Linked DNA regions of Sus scrofa. The protein of the gene in region 4 interacts with the protein of the main gene of each other region in a pairwise test. Links are inferred from orthologs where the notes say so. Each region holds a gene or a part of one and is shown on either strand. Other genes may lie near its edges. The genes, in order: TRIM39, NMNAT1, NDUFV2 and CCNC.

Region 1 (4,150 bases), on a different chromosome or scaffold from region 4:
CTTAGAACTTCAATCCGGGCAGAACTCTAAGACCTAACACAATCCTGAAAGTTTGGAATGTCTTGGATACCTAATGAATTAATGCTCAGGGCTCAATAAATACTAGTTATTATTACTGCTACTATTAATACATGTCTCACTGTCCAATAGAAGAAATAGGACAGATACCAAAATACCATGCTACAAATATGTTAATGCTATGGAAGAGATGCAAAACTGTATGCAAATTAAAAGAGCCAATTTCTAAAGGTTCCAGAAAGGCTACATAAGCAGTGGTTTTCACCAATAGGATCCTACAGTAGAGGATGGGGAAAGGAAGACTATCCTAGAAACTAACCTCATCTAGCATTTTTGAGTTTACTTGAGTTAAGAGAATGTGGTCTAGAGGTTACTGGGCAGCTCCTCCATCCTTCCTCCCGAGTGCATCTTCCACATTCTTCTTGCCTCAATCCCTCTAAGAAACTCCTATCCCTGCCCACTCAGCAGAGAGCCTTCTTCCCTGCCTTACAAAGAAAAGGAGACCAACAGGCATGAACTCCCTCAACTCCACAGATATAAGATATTCTGTCCTTCACCTCTTCCATCTTTCTCAATACTTAATCCATGACAATTAATCTAAGTACAATGTTTAATGACAATCAAGCTTAATAAAAATACCATCATTTCTGAGAGAACAGCATTTTTCTTTTTCTTTCTTTTTATGGCCGCGTATAGAAGTTCCTGGGCCAGGGACTGAATCTCAGCCACAGCTGCAACCTAACACCACAGCTGTGGCAACGATGAATCCTTAATTCACTGCACTGGGCCGGGGATTGAACCCTTGCTGCCTCAGAGACAACGAGGGATCCTTAACCCACCGTGCCACAGCGGGAGCTCCGAGAATAGCATTTTTCTAAGGAACCAGAACTGGGGGGGTTAAATAATGTGTGGTTAATGTTTGGTTAACTGCCTGTAGAGCAGCCCAAATGGATCTCCTGCCTTTACCTTGAGTTCGCCAGGCTTCTTCTCCTCAGAGGACTTGCAGCGGGTGATCTCCTGTAGCTTCTGCTCCAGGGGCTCCAGGCACTTCTGCAGTTTTTCCTGAGGGGTGCAAAGTGGGAGAATGGCATTTGGGATTATCTGGTACATCCTATGTTCAGAAACTAACCCATTTGTTTTAAATCATTTGTTTTGCTTCCTATCCATCTCTTACCACCTCTTGATGCAACTGCCTTGTCTGTCATTTGGGGTGTCAATTTCCTACAGGTCCCTCTTCCTGCCACCAACCTGTCTCCATATCACTTTCTTTGTTCACCAAACTTTCCTTTCACTGAATCTCACAGTGTCCAGCTGTCACCAACTCTCTGTCCTTCTCCTGCCCTGTTCATTTTCTTACTCATGGAACTGCCTATTACTGTCAAAGTGACCTCCTGTCCCCTGATATCTTTCTTTAAATTGTTGTCCTATCCAACTCTAACCACTTGCAAATATAATACAATCTTGATTACTTATTTTGGAAACTACCATAAAATCTTATTTCTAAGATTTTACTAATATAATTGGTCAAAGTTCTTGATAAAGTGCTAAGACATTAAAATCTCGAGTTCCTATTACTCAAACATGTATCCTGGGTCCCAGTGGTAAGTTAATCCGTATACCATGTTATCTATCATCCAGGCAAGATGCAAACAGACTGGTTCAGCTTGGCCTGGTGGAGGTCATTCTAAAGTGATGTTATCTATGCCCAATACTAGGTTAAACAAGGGGCATGTGAGCAGGAGGAAAGAATGAAGAAACCAGACTACCTTTCAGTTCTTCCTAAATTTGATCTTCTCCATGCGGTTTCATTCACTTGTGAAAAACATAATACATTCCAGGACCACACATACGCAGATGTGTTATAAAAGTCAGAGAGAAATTTTGGGATATTTCTCATTGCTTTTTTTTTGCTTTTTAGGGCCGTACCTGCAGCATATGGAGGTTCCCAGGCTAGGGGTCCAACGGAAGCTACAGCTGCTGACCTATGACACAGGTGCAGCCATGCCAGATCTGAGCCGTGTCTGCGACCTACACCATAGCTCATGGCAACACTGGATCCTTAACCCTCTGAGCAAGGCCAGGGATCAAACCTGCAACCTCATGGTTCCTAGTCAGATTTCTTTCCACTGTGCCATGATGGGAACTCCTCTCACTGCTCTTCTTCATGCCTGAGGATAACTGATCAGATGTGCTGTGTGCCTAGTGTATGTAGCTCTGAGGGGAATACAGAGTGAGGACCAGATACCATCTTGCCCTCAGGAACTTATGATCTTCTACCCAGGGAATCTCTCACCCTCTGCACTCCTCTCCCTTGCCCTGCATTAGCATCATGTGTCTGGTTCCTTACCTTGTACTCCTGGGTGGCATCATCCAGTGGCACAACGGTATGGGCCCGGTGAGTGTGGGAAATTGCACATATCAAACAGACAGCCTCCTGGTCCTCATAGCAGAAGAGGCTGAGGGCCTCGTGGTGCTGGGGGCAGAGGCTCTCATCTCGGATCTTCCGCTTGACAGCTTGGAGCTGCTTGGCAATTTCCACCATACTGCCCAGCTGTCGATTAGGCCGGAGGCTGCGGTAGCGGGATGTCTTTCGACAGACAGGGCAAGGGAAGTCCCTCTCTAGGTCCTCCCACCAGCGGGTGATGCAAGCTTTGCAGAAGTTGTGCCCACACTCAATGATGACAGGCTCCTTCAGATACTCCAGGCACACAGAACAACTTGCCTCCACCTGTAAGTTCTCCAGCGCTGCAGCTGTGGAGGCTGCAGAGGCCCCGGCCTCTAACAGACTTGTCTCTGCCATTATTTAACTTGAAGTTAGGAAGGGGGAAGAGGAAAGAAAAATGTTAATTGGAGGTTTAATTTTTTGGCATCCCTGACCTGACATGTACGTCCATGTTAAACGCTAACTGCAGATTTAGTCCCTTCGTGGTATTTTACATCTTCTCTCCCACTAGTCAAGCTCTTTTGTTTCTCCATTTCCAAAACTTGTGACTCCCAGACATTAACTTTTTTTTTCTCTGCAGCAAACTGACATATAACCCTCAATCTCTTGTCTATTATCACTTCCTCTTGTTAGAAACAGAGGCCCCTTTCAACTTTAGCCCAAAGTACTTCTCCTGATTCTGTTTCATTCCATTTGTGTCTTAGAACCAATAGTTCCAGACCAATGAATTCCTGGTTGGACATACTTATCTTTTTTGGCTGTGCCCATGGCAGGTGGAAGTTCCCAGGCCAGGGACTGAACCAAAGCCACAGCAGTGAAAATGTCAGATCCTTAACTGGCTGAGCCACCAAAGAACTCCAACACATTTTTCTTTTTGCTTTTTAGGGCCAAAAAAAGAACTTCCACAGCATATGGAAGTTCTCAGGCTACTGGTCAATTTGGAGCTACAGCTGCCGGCCAATTATACCACAGCCACAGCAACTCTGAAGCAGAGCTGCATCTGCAACCTACACCATGGCTCATGGCAATCCAAGCAAGGCCAGGGATTGAACCTGCATCTTCATGGATACTAGTAGGATTTGTGTCCGCTGCGCCACAATGGGAACTCCCCGACATATTTTTTCTAATGGATGAGAAAGGAGTTTCAGAAAGTGGAATGTGCCATAAAAGTCAAGCATTAAGGTTTCTTTCTTTCTTTTCTTTTTTGGCTGCACCCGTGGCATATGGAAGTTCCCTGGGGCCAGGGATCGAATCCCAGCTGAAGCTGTGACCTATGCCACAGCTGTAGCAATGCCAGATCCTTAACCCACTACAGCACAGCAGGAACTCCTAATTAAGGTTCCTTAAGTATGCATTAAAGCGTAATGTTACAGAAGAGTTTTACTACAATAGCCCATTGGAACCTAAGCTTGATTCTCTGGCATTGTTCTCTCACTCTTTCAAACGGTAATAAATGGAGTGAGTTAGGCAAGGGTAACAACCTCTTTTTTTCAGAAGTCTGGAATTATTCTTCCTTTTAGCAGGCTAGCCTAGAGGAAGTGTGCTATCTTTTCGGAATGAAATGATTCATACAACAACTCATTTCTATTTGTGTGCATTTGGACTTTTGGAACTGCTAGAAAGTGATAAATTCATGGCAACTGTACTAGAAAGTCTATTTCTATTACTGAGCCCAGGGCAAGAACTTCT
Region 2 (4,041 bases), on a different chromosome or scaffold from region 4:
TGTCTACCTACCTAACATTCATTCCTCTTTTCCCAATTTCTTCTCTTCCCTCCCCATCCTCTTTTTAGGCTTAGATTCTATCTTTGTTTGAGAACTTGAACCAAAACCAATTTCTCTTGCCTATGCACTAGGAATGCTTTTTCACTATCCATTAGCTTTAAACAAGAACCCAAAGGTATGTAAGAATACTCTCGGAATCTGAACTGCGGAATCAGATTAAGTTACCAAGAATGAAGAGCAGGTAAGCACGATGCTTGTACAGTGAGGCCTTTCCTCCACAGCTTCTAAGATTGCTCGCACCCTCTAAAACCAACACAAATGCCTAAGTAGAACTCTGTATTATCACCATAAAAATTAGGGGAAGAACCCAGTGAGAAAATGTTTATTCAGCAAGTACTTCAAATGGTGAAAGAAGGATATTTTCCAGCTTTGTTGTATGTGGCACTGACCCTATTTGTCATTGAGATTTTGATATTCTACAAAAACATTTCCACACATAGTCACATTATCACTGCATATTTATATACTCCACTGTATATACATTATATACTTTGTATGTAAATCCATTGTGCATATATGTATATATATATATATACACATATGCACACACTGGAATGCTACTTAGCTATAAAAAAGAACAAAATAATGTCATCTGCAGCAACATGGATGGAACTAGAGATTATCATACGAAGTGAAATCAGAAAGAAAAGACACATACCATATACCACTTACACGTGGAATCTAACATACGACACAAATGAACCTATCTACGAATTAGAAACAGACTTAGAGAACAGACTTGCGGTTGCCAACAGGGAGGGGAATGGGAGAGGAACGGACTGGGAGTCTGGGGTTAGCAGATGCAAACTATTATTACACAGAACGGATAAACAGCAAAGTCCTACTGCATAGCACAGGGAACTATACTCAATATCTGAAACAAACCAGAATGGAAAAGAATATAAAAAACAATGCATACATACATTATGTACATATAAAACGGAATGACCTTGCTGTCCAGCAGAAATTAACACATTGTAAATCAACTATACTTCGATAAAAATTATCTAAACTTAAGAGGCTTGCTTGATACACAATATATTTACCACTTGTTAACAATAACAAAAAAATACGTAACAGCCACTTACTTTTACAAAGGAAATTCTATGAATCTGAATAGTTTTGCACAGTAGGCCATTGGAACCATTCCAACTTGTGTGTCAACTTCTCTTCTGTGTTGGACTTAGAACTGCGATTTCACAACCAAATTGTAACTCTGAAAAACAATTTATGGTGATAAATAAGAATTTCTATGATTGGACAGAAATGACAAATAATTCATTCTGGTGGAGTTCTGTGGTGATCTAGGAAGTGTGTCCTGGGTGGCTGAGTTAAAATTAACTTTATTTTTATTTCTGGCCAGGCTCCTGGGCCTGTGGAAGTTCCTGGGCCAGGAATCAACCCCTGCCACAGCAGTGACTATGCCAGATCTTTAACCCACTGAGCCACCAGGGAATTCCTAGAATTAACTTTAAAGACAACACCTGTTTAACAATTTCGCTGTAAACCCTGAGGTTGTCTTGTGGACTAATGACTTCAAGGAGCTGGGCTGGGAACATGTGAAAACAATTTCCACCTAACTTCTGAGTAACTTTTAGAATGTTGCCCAACGGCTCGCAGTCTCCTTTCCAAGACGAATTGGTGTCAAACTGCTTCGTAATCCAGTCTTTCACAGACCTGGAAAAAAGGATTTGCGGGAAAAAGGGGAAGTGCCTCGCCCCCCTCACTTCTGCCCAAGAAGGAGTTTTTCCCCCAGGGTGAATTCACCTGTTCCAAAGGCCAGAGGCAACTTTACCGAGATTTTTGGTTCTACAGAGAAAATTCTAAAGGAAGGGACAAGACTCCCAGCCTCAAACTTGATTGAGACCTTGCTTCGGGGACGGCTGCATTTGACCCTCAAAAACCCCACCATCTTGGACTCCCTTGCACTTGCGATTTTAAAAAGGAGTCCTTGGCTGACTCCCCCAGAGCCCGGTTTGTCAGGGTCTCCGGGTAGGGGCTTACCACGCTACTGGCCCGAGTCCTCCGGGAGACAGTCCGCAACCCGGATACCAGTGACGGTAACACTCGTAGCCGCGCCCTCATTGGCTCCAGGCGGTCGGAAGTGCGTGCGTTTGGCGGAAGTGCTTCACCTGCACGCGTCCGCGGGGCCCGGACCCTCAGGTAGGCGGGGCCCCTGGCTGTGAACTCTCGGACCAGGCGTGGTGGGCGGAGGCGGAGAGGGGACCCCGAGGGGGTGGTTCGGGTTCTGGTCTGGGAAGACCGAAGAGCTTTGGGGGCGCCGGGATCCCGGCGACGCCTGGGAGCAACCAGGCCTAGTCGACCCGGCCGCCGCCAGTCCCAAGTGCGGGAGCTTCAGGTTCCCTGGTGGGAGATGGAATTTGGGGCGGTGGCCGGAGCTGCTGCCTGACCCCGTCCGGAAGGTCGAGGTTCAGAAGCCGCTCACTTCCAGCCAGGAAAACGTGTGCGCTCCACCTTTATCTTTTTCGTGCTTCTGGGTTTGACAGCTTCCCTCAAGGCAGTTTAGGGTGCGGCGTTTTCCTCAGTAACGCACTCGGTCTCACCAGGAAAAGCCTCAAAGACTGCCCGCACAGTCAGAAGGAAAGCGGATTTCACCCTCTCCTCCACACCTGCCCCCTGCTCCTACGATGTCTCCCTAGGAGCCGGAAAGAGAGGGTGCAGTCGCAGGCCGCCCAAGTGGAAGTTTTCCGAACTGCTTTAGGCCACGTTTATATATAGTGAATAAAACTGCTTGTCAATTGTTCCCTTTTCCAGCCAGCTCCACCCTCAGGTGGTTTGAACTTTGAACTTCTTGCCCTGATGAACAGTTTCGCGTTCCTCAAGTTTATAACACTTGAAACTACAAGAACTGGCGGTTTTATGCAGTTTGAGACCAGTCAGCACTAAGCAGAGTTCGGAGTGCTAAGAGAAAGGTGAGCGTGAATGAGTACCTTCCACTCCAGAGTACAGTTTGGGGGAGTAATTTGGCTGTTTGCGTAAAAGGTGCACCACCTTTGTTGAATACTAGGTGGTGCCCGCGAGTTAATCTTTATAGGACGAATCTCAACTAATGTAGCACTAGGTTAAGATTCTTAAAAGGGTTTTGTGGTTTTTTTTTTTTTTTTTTTTTTTTTTAAGGAGTTCCCTAGTCGCTCAGTGAGTTAAGGATCTGGCATTATCACTGCTGTGGCTCAGGTCACTGCTGTGGCAGCGGGTTCCATCCCTGGCCCCTGGAACTTCCTTCTGGTGTGGGTGCGACCAAAAAACCCCCAATACAAAACCAAAGTGTCTCTTTCTTCCCTGAAGTTCGTTTAGACAAGGTTAATCTTAAAATATGTTGTACCTTTATACATATCAAATACCTAGTCTGAACTAAATGCTGATTAGGCTAAGAAAGGAATGAGACTTATTTTCTGCTCTCATTTTACAGTCTGGAGAGGAAAACAGACAAACAATAAGCTATAATGAATCACATATAATTCAAGGCAGACATAGTGCTAAATAGAGAATAAGATGTAGGATGCAGGAGTTCCCACTGTGGCTCAGTGGTTAACGAATCTGACTAGGAACCATTAGGTTTCAGGTTCAATCCCTGGCCTTGCTCGGTGGGCTGGGGATCCAGCATTGCCGTGGGCTGTGGTGTAGGTCACAGGTGCGGTTCAGATCCCACATTGCTGCTCCCGTGGTGTAGGCCAGCAGCTACTGCTCCCGTTAGACCCCTAGCCTGGGAACCTCCATATGCCACAGGTGCAGCCCTGGAAAAAACAAAAAGACAAAAAAAAAAAAAAAAAAGATGTAGGATGCAGTGGAAGAAGCAAGCAATATGCAGCCTTGCTCAGTAGGTTAAGGATCTGGCATTGCCATGAGCTGTGGTGTAGGCTGCAGATGCAGCTTGGATCTGGCATTGCTGAGACTGTGGTATAGGCTGGCAGCTACAGCTCTGATTCAACCCCTAGCCTGGGAACCTCCATATGCGGAGGA
Region 3 (4,114 bases), on a different chromosome or scaffold from region 4:
CTCTTGTTCCTCCAAAGCTAATCAGTGGCTTGGTAGCGAGGCAATGATGAGCCATAAAATAGTGTCAACATTACAGAAAGCCATGGGCAATTACTCAAGGAAAGATGGAAATAAACCTATTCTGAGTACCTATTTTCCATATTTCATAATTTTTAGGCAATTCTTGACAATCACTCAACGAGGTACTACTGTACTTACAGAAAAGAAAAATAAAGCTCAAGGAGCTTAAGAAATATGGCTCAAGGTCAAATAACTAGTGACTTCCAGGCACAGTACTAAATTCTAGGTATTTGTTAAGCAATGACAAGATGAAAAGCCTGTGGCTAAAATAACTGGCAACTAGCTAATAAAGCAGAAATTACAAGAAAATACGCAATTTCTTTGAAAATGATTTCCTTAAAGCCTTCTTTATTTGGGGGGGGCTCCTCCCAGGTCAGGGAACAAACCCATGCCACAACAGCAACCCAAGCTGTGACAGTGACATTGCTGGATCCTTAACCTGCTGTGCAACAAGAGAACTCCTAAAAGTTTCCCTTTCAGGAAAGGAACTTTATTAGTGAGACCTCTTTACTCACATTTTTCCTGCTTTTTGCTAGGTCATTCTGATATTCCACTATTTGTAATGGGTTAAAAGGGCCTGGTTATATAAATTATAGAACATCCTCACAATGGCATGCTATGCAGCATTAAAAATGACAGTATAGGGAGTTCCCACTGTGATACAGTGGATTAACAATCTGACTTGGGTCACTGTGGAGGCGTGGGTTTGCTCCCCAGCTGAGTGCAGTAGGTTAAAGGATCCAGTGTTGCTCTGCAGCTGTGACAAAGGCTGAAGCTGCAGCTTCGATTCAATCCCTGGTCTGGGAACTTCCATATTCCACAGGAGCAGCCATTAAAATAAAAATTTTTTTTAAAAATTTAAAAAAACTTAAAAAAATGGGAGTTCCCATCCTGGCTCAGCAGAAACAAATCTGACTGGCATCCATGAGGATGCAGGTTCAATCCCTGGTCTCGCTCAGTGGGTTAAGGATCCATCGATGCCATGAGCAGATGTGGCTTGTATCTGGCATTGCTGTGGCTGTGTCGTAAGCTGGCGGCTGCAGCTCCAATTCAACCCCTAGCCTGGGAACCTCCACATGCCACAGGTGCAGCCCTTAAAAATAAAAAAATTTTTTTAAATAAAAAGTTTATTCATAAGCAAAGCTAATCAAAATGTATAATGGGAGAAAACAGGCTACAAAACTGTATGAACAATACCATCTGATTTTTACAAAAAAATTTTTCTGTAAGGTCCTTTATGTGCAGATATCAAAATGTTAACATTTTGTTAATGTTCAATTTGATAAAACTATGGGCGATTTTTATTTTTTGAACTTATTATATTTGCTGTTCCTAATATTGTTTTTCTTATCTTGTCCTTTCCACCTAGAACACCCTCCCTATCCATTTGGCCCCATCCCCAATCTATTCCTATTACTTACAGGAAAAATCTTACACCACCTTCAAACTAAACTGGATGATCTTATTCATATCTCTAACACTGTACGGCTGACTCTTGAACAATACTAAGGGTTAGAAGTGTGGACCCTCGAAATAGCTGAAAATCCAAATATAATAACTTAAGAGTCAGACCTCCAAATATGAGGTTTCTCCATACCCAGGATCCTGCAGTACTGTACTTACTGCTACGGGGTGGGGGGACCTCGCTTATAAGTGGACCACTGAGTACAAATCTGTTCAAGGGTCACCTAACTATACTTTTACACTATTCAATACCTACTACCTTAAGTTCCTAGTCCATAAAACTATCAACTCTACAAGAACAGGGATTGTCTAAATCCATTTCACTGTAATATGGGGAAGTAACAGTACCAACCTCACGAATTAGGTTTTGAAGGTAAATAACACAGTGCTTGGTGCACAGAAAGCAGTCACACCTACCATTATTCTCCACCTTGACACCTGGAACCCAACAGGAACAGTAGAATCTCAAACTTTACTGAAAGACTAAACTCTACAAATTGAAATATTCCCATTTGACAACTGAGGAAACCAAGTGAGAACAGTCCAGTCACAAAACTAGAAAAGGCGGTGAAGCCTCCATCCAAACTCAGGTCTAACTGCAAGGCCCTGCGCTCATCCTATACTGCTGTGCACTAACCCCTCCGTTCGGCTGAAAACTGACTCAACCTTTCTATTTTACTGGTGCAGGTAAAGAAAGCTTTCTTTCCCGTAAGCGCCCCGTCATCATCATCGTCATTTCTGGAATGTTCATCTTTAAGTCAGAGCAAGCGAGTGTTTCAGCCTGAGCTCCAAGGTCGCTGTCTAAAGCGTGACGTTCTGAGACCTCAGGAGCCGGCAGAGGCTTCGCCGCCCGGGGTGCGAGGTGCAGGGAGCCCTGGGTTCCAACACGCAGCACAGTCGCAGTCAAGGGTACGCCGGTGCCGCCCTCCCGCGGCCCAAGGAGACACCCGCCGAGTTCCAGACGCCCCTGGGACGCCCCGCGCACTGACTCGGGCCTCCCGTCCTGAGGAGGCCTCCCCACCGCCCCTCCCTAGGTCCTCGGACGCGCGGCCTCCTCAAGAGCGGGCGAAGGCCGCGGCGTCCTTGCCGTCGCCCGCAGGCCGTCTCGTGCCCGGCGTGCCCTGTGCCGGCCGCTAGAGGAGGCCGGGAGAGAGGGAGAGGGCAGCGGCAGCGCCGGCGCACATTCGAGCCTCCTTACCCACTGGGCGGTGAAGCCCGTAGCCCGTGCCCGGAGCGCTGCGGTGAGAAACATGGCGGGCCAAACTGCGGGCCTTTCCGACCGCGCCAGGAGGAATCGCGAGCGCCGGGACGCACGGCGTGCGCGCCCCCGAGCCCAGCCTGCGCGCCCTGGGCGGCAGGGGCGCGCGGGTACGGCTGAGGCCAATGGCCGCTGCAAGAACCCGCCGGCGCCCTAGGAGGTCAGGTCCCGGGGGGTGTTGCCTTGTATCCCGCCCTGAAGGGCGTTGTCCCCTAGGGGCCCCGCGCACCGGAGTTTATGAGGTGGGCTACCCTACTGGAGCCCTGTCAGGATTTAACCTTTTTTTTTTTTTTTTTTGTCTTTTTGCCATTTCTTGGGCCGCTCTTGCGGCATATGGAGGTTCCCGGGCTAGGGGTCGAATCGGAGCTGTAGCTGCCAGCCTACGCCAGAGCCACAGCAACGCGGGATCCGAGCCGCGTCTGTGACCTACACCACAGCTCACGGCAACACCGGAACCTTGACCCACTGAGCAAGGGCAGGGATGGAACCCGCAACCTCATGGTTCCTAGTCGGATTCGTTAACCACTGCGCCACGACGGGAACTCCTAACCTTATTTTTGATTGCAGTTCCTTAAAAAACAAAAAAATTTCGTTGCAACCCCCTATAAATCGTATTTTACAAATTGAAGAATTTGCAGAATTGAAGATACAGAGGGCTGGCTGCCACGCAGAGGGCTAGGCATGGACACCAAATGCCCTGGTTCCCACTCTTTTGCTTTAGGGATGCATGCTTACATATTTAGGGGCAAAATAATAAGATATCTGGAATTTGCTTCGGAATAATGCAGAGTGGGAGGTAGAAAGGAAACAAGATTGGCCCTGAGTGATGACTTGAAGCCGCGTGGTAGTTCTCATTGCTATTCTCGGTACTTTGAACATGTTAGAAATTTTTCCATAATAAAACTTTCCAAAAAAAAAAAAAAAAAGCCACTTCCTTTTTGGTGTTTGTTTGGTCATCTTTGGAAATTCCAGCAAGTGCTTATTCACTAATAGCTATAATATGTAGAGTGCTGTTTCCTGCTGTGGAGGGTGTACCAGGCGCTTACTGCCTCTTGATTTCTCCCTTCAGGGCCTTTCCTTTTATGTCCTGTACCCACTCCCTTCTTTTTGCCTCTTTTCTTTGCCATAATATACTTCTGAATGATTTCTGGAACTTTCACATTAGTGCAGGTTTGTTTTTTGTTTTTTTTGTTTGTTTGTTTTTTAATCCCTCATTATTTAAAAAATTCTAAAATATCCCATAGCAAGTCCTATGAATCATATTTTACAAGTTAGGGAATTCGAGTCATGTAGGGCTACCAGCCAGCTAGAAATAGACACACCAAATGCCTT
Region 4 (3,564 bases):
AACTTATTTTTGTTTAAACTTTTTAGGACCATTCCTGTGGCATATGGAAGTTCCCAGGCTAAGGGTTGAACTGGAGCTGCAGCTGCCAGCCTATGCCACAGCCACAGCCAGGCGGGATCCAAGCCGTATCTACAACCTACACCGCAGCTCATGGCAATGCTGGATCTTTAACCCACTGAGCAAGGCCAGGGATGGAACCCAACTCCTCATGGACACTAGTCAGGTTCATAACCCCCTGAGCCACAATGGAACTCTCTAAAAATAACTAAAATTTATGAGGTGTTTCATCTTACATACAGTCTCATTTCATTTTACTAACTTTATAGGATTACTAAACTCTTTATTTTAAAGCTGAAAAAAAATCAAGAATTGGTTCCTTATCCAACAAAAGAAACTAAACCATATATAGTTTATTCAAAAACCCACAGTGGTGGGGGGAGACGGCACCTGTGTATGCCTGTGTATATATTTATATTTACATTTAAACCTCAAACTGTAATAACTGAAACTGGAAATTAAATGCCTGAGACATCTTTTTAATGTCTTTCAATACAATTTTCACACAAGCAGACAAAACACAGATAGATTTGGTCATAAAGATAAAAAAAAATGCTATAACTGAATATGAAAGGATACATTTTTTCCTAGGGATAATTCTTTACCTTAAAATTCTTAAAGCAAAAGCTTTCACTTAGTAAATCATAAAATAGGGTTATACTCAGCAAGTCATGTAGCAAAAGATATTGTTACAAGGATATAACTAGGATAAAACTCCAAGTTAATTTATAAAAGTAAAAGTTTATAAAGATTTGATCTTGGTTACCCATATTGGCTGTCCTTCAGCCACATAAAATTATATGGTGATATTTGGGAAAACCACCCCATAATACAGACCTTTTACAATCACTTTCTTAAAAAACAACAGGGCTGGTTCTGCCTCCTTAAATTACCACTTACAATTACATTCAATATTAAAGGAAGCAATTACTATTCTGAAGACATCATCTAAAAATAGAAACATAATACATAGGATTCATATTACCTAAGATAACATGAATTATTATGAACACCAGTCAATACGTGCTATTAGTACCTGGATTTTAGCTGAGCTCTCTCAAAAAATACTGAAAGGGTAAATAAAGTGATCCAAGATTTGGTCTCAGCTGCAGGTTCCCATCTCTCTTCTCTTTCTCACCTAATTTCTCAACCTTCACAACCCAAATTATTCCTTGCTAGAAGGAGTATATCTGCAGCTACTCTGGTTCTCCTAGGCAACCAATCATTAGGAGGCAGGAAGGAAAAACAGCAGGACATAGGACACATATGGAGTTTGAGAAGGAAGAACATTCTCAAGTTATAGTGGATAAGCTGTGGCAATTATGAAATACTCCTTAGAACCAAACAATAAATATCTTAAAGGTAGTAAAGCAAAGCAGTTAAGAGTATGGGAGGAGTTCCCGTCGTGGCACAGTGGTTAAGGAATCTGACTAGGAACCATGAGGTTGCGGGTTCAATCCCTGGCCTTGCTCAGTGATTTAAGCACTGAGCTGTGGTGTAGGTTGCAGACGTGGTTCGGATCCCTTGTTGCTATGGCTCTGGCATAGGCTGGAGGCTATGGAATTAGACCCCTAGCCTGGGAATCTCCATATACTGTGGGAGTGGCCCTAGAAAAGGCAAAAACAAACAAACAAAAAAAAAAACAAAAAAACAAAAAAAAGGAGAATAGGATTAGAAGCTAGACTCCTAGGGTTAAAATACCCTGTCACTTATCAGCTCCTTAATCTTTTTGTGTCTCAGTTTCTTCACTTATAAAATGATATTACAAATATATACCCCATAGTTTGTTATGAGGATTAAAATATTTGTAAGAGGACTTAGAATAGCACTTGGCACATAGTAAAGTGTTACATAAGTGCTTTTTAACTGAATATATAAAATAAAGATATGCATATACTTCTTTGATTTTGTACAAATTTCAATATTTTATGTAAATCATCATCTTATTATTTTTACACAGGTAATGTGAAAACTGGGTTTAACCAATACCGTTGACTGTACTTTGATGAAGAACAGAAAATTAGTTCATACCTCTACTTTGGATGCCAAAAACACACATGTAGGAGCCATTAATACAGGATCTATACTTTTCAGAGAATACCTAAAAATACAATTAATTAAACAAAGTTAAGCAATATTCATAGACCAAACACAAATGAAAATAGAATTCATACAGAAAACATCTATATGGGAAAAAAATCAGGCCAACTCTATAGCAAACACATGATTTACTTACATAAGTTTCATCCTCATTACATAAGAGTTTCAAATACATGATATTTTAAATACAAATAACAGTCCCAAAATAACACAGCCCTACCTGGCATAGAATCTCTTGAAATAGACCGTAGCAGTGGCAATAACTTGTTGTCTTAATTTAAGATGTTCACCTAATGCTTGGATAACTAAAAGAAAAATAATAATAATAAAATCTGATATCAATATAATATTAACACTGAACAATAACTTCCATGCAGTTAAATCATGACTATATTCATTTTTAACAAAGAGAAAAATTTACACATGCTATAATGCTCTACGTGGATCACAGTGGTCTAGTACTAGGATTACAAATTTGTTAAGGCTAAATGATAGGTATTTCCCCTCTTATCAGACACCCATCAGTTTTACAAAGTTCATAAAAAATCCAAAATGAATCCTCAAAACAACAGAGAGGTAGGTTTGCATAAGAGTGAACTGAGGCTTAGAAAGATCCTGGACAAAGCCACCACATGGCACAGCAAAGACCTTCTAATTCCAAATACCCTTCTCTCCAAAGCAAACTTGTAAGATAGGAATGACCAATACAGGATGTCAATCCAAAGAATTATTTATCCTCAAAGTACTTCATTTTAGCCAATCTTAAACTGGGTTTAATGATGCATTATAACTGTTTAGGAAGATTAACACTTTTAGATTGTCTTGAGTATCTCTGACATATAAGTCACTTTAAAAAAATACATTTAAGTTATAAAGAGAATACACATGTTAAAAAAAAAATAAAGGGACTAAAACAGTCACAAATTACTACAGAAAAACACCTTAGTTCAGAGTTAACCAACTATACTATTTAAACCAATTTAAAAGAAAAAAGTTTACCATTTGTAAAAAATATCTGTAATTTCCAATACTCTTCTTCTGAGAGAAACTTTAAGTCCTTTTGGCGTTCCTTCAACAGATCTTGTTTATCCAAAATCCATTGCAAACTAAAAGAAGCAAAGATTCAGACAACCTATAGAAAATCAACTAACAAAGTCACAGAAAACATTCTAAGAATGAACAAGTTTTAGTCTTAGTACAAAATACAAAAAGTAACCTTGAAAGATGTTTTTCACATTTCTTGAAACTCTGACGTTAGAATTATCTCACTAATAAGTGTAAATTAAATGTGCCCTGAAAAAAAAATCTGCTCTAATCTTCTCTTCCTTCTCAGTCTGTCTTGTCTCTCTTCCCACTCCCACATGTCACTTTTATAGTGTATTTCACTGATTCTAAGACTCTGGTATC

Evidence for each region.
Region 1: the proteins of CCNC (region 4) and TRIM39 interact in binary tests that used the Homo sapiens proteins (3 or more experiments, as listed by UniProt). The two-hybrid records come from large-scale screens. The link is inferred for Sus scrofa from reciprocal best matches to the Homo sapiens genes CCNC and TRIM39.
Region 2: the proteins of CCNC (region 4) and NMNAT1 interact in binary tests that used the Homo sapiens proteins (3 or more experiments, as listed by UniProt). The two-hybrid records come from large-scale screens. The link is inferred for Sus scrofa from reciprocal best matches to the Homo sapiens genes CCNC and NMNAT1.
Region 3: the proteins of CCNC (region 4) and NDUFV2 interact in binary tests that used the Homo sapiens proteins (3 or more experiments, as listed by UniProt). The link is inferred for Sus scrofa from reciprocal best matches to the Homo sapiens genes CCNC and NDUFV2.

The regions. Positions count from the first base shown.
Region 1 is NC_010449.5:23,048,870-23,053,019, reverse strand, and holds the start of TRIM39 (tripartite motif-containing protein 39), read right to left. Parts: upstream 2,819-4,150; coding exon 2,366-2,818; intron 1,081-2,365; coding exon 985-1,080; intron 1-984.
Region 2 is NC_010448.4:70,270,083-70,274,123, reverse strand, and holds the start of NMNAT1 (nicotinamide/nicotinic acid mononucleotide adenylyltransferase 1), read right to left. Parts: upstream 2,829-4,041; 5' UTR 2,065-2,828; intron 1,877-2,064; exon of another isoform or gene 1,545-1,876; intron 1,277-1,544; 5' UTR 1,149-1,276; intron 1-1,148.
Region 3 is NC_010448.4:98,849,736-98,853,849, forward strand, and holds the start of NDUFV2 (NADH dehydrogenase [ubiquinone] flavoprotein 2, mitochondrial), read right to left. Parts: upstream 2,827-4,114; 5' UTR 2,777-2,826; coding exon 2,723-2,776; intron 1-2,722.
Region 4 is NC_010443.5:66,489,733-66,493,296, forward strand, and holds part of CCNC (cyclin-C), read right to left. Parts: intron 3,290-3,564; exon of another isoform or gene 3,264-3,289; coding exon 3,157-3,263; intron 2,463-3,156; coding exon 2,378-2,462; intron 2,159-2,377; coding exon 2,089-2,158; intron 1-2,088. UniProt on the Homo sapiens protein: Component of the Mediator complex, a coactivator involved in regulated gene transcription of nearly all RNA polymerase II-dependent genes.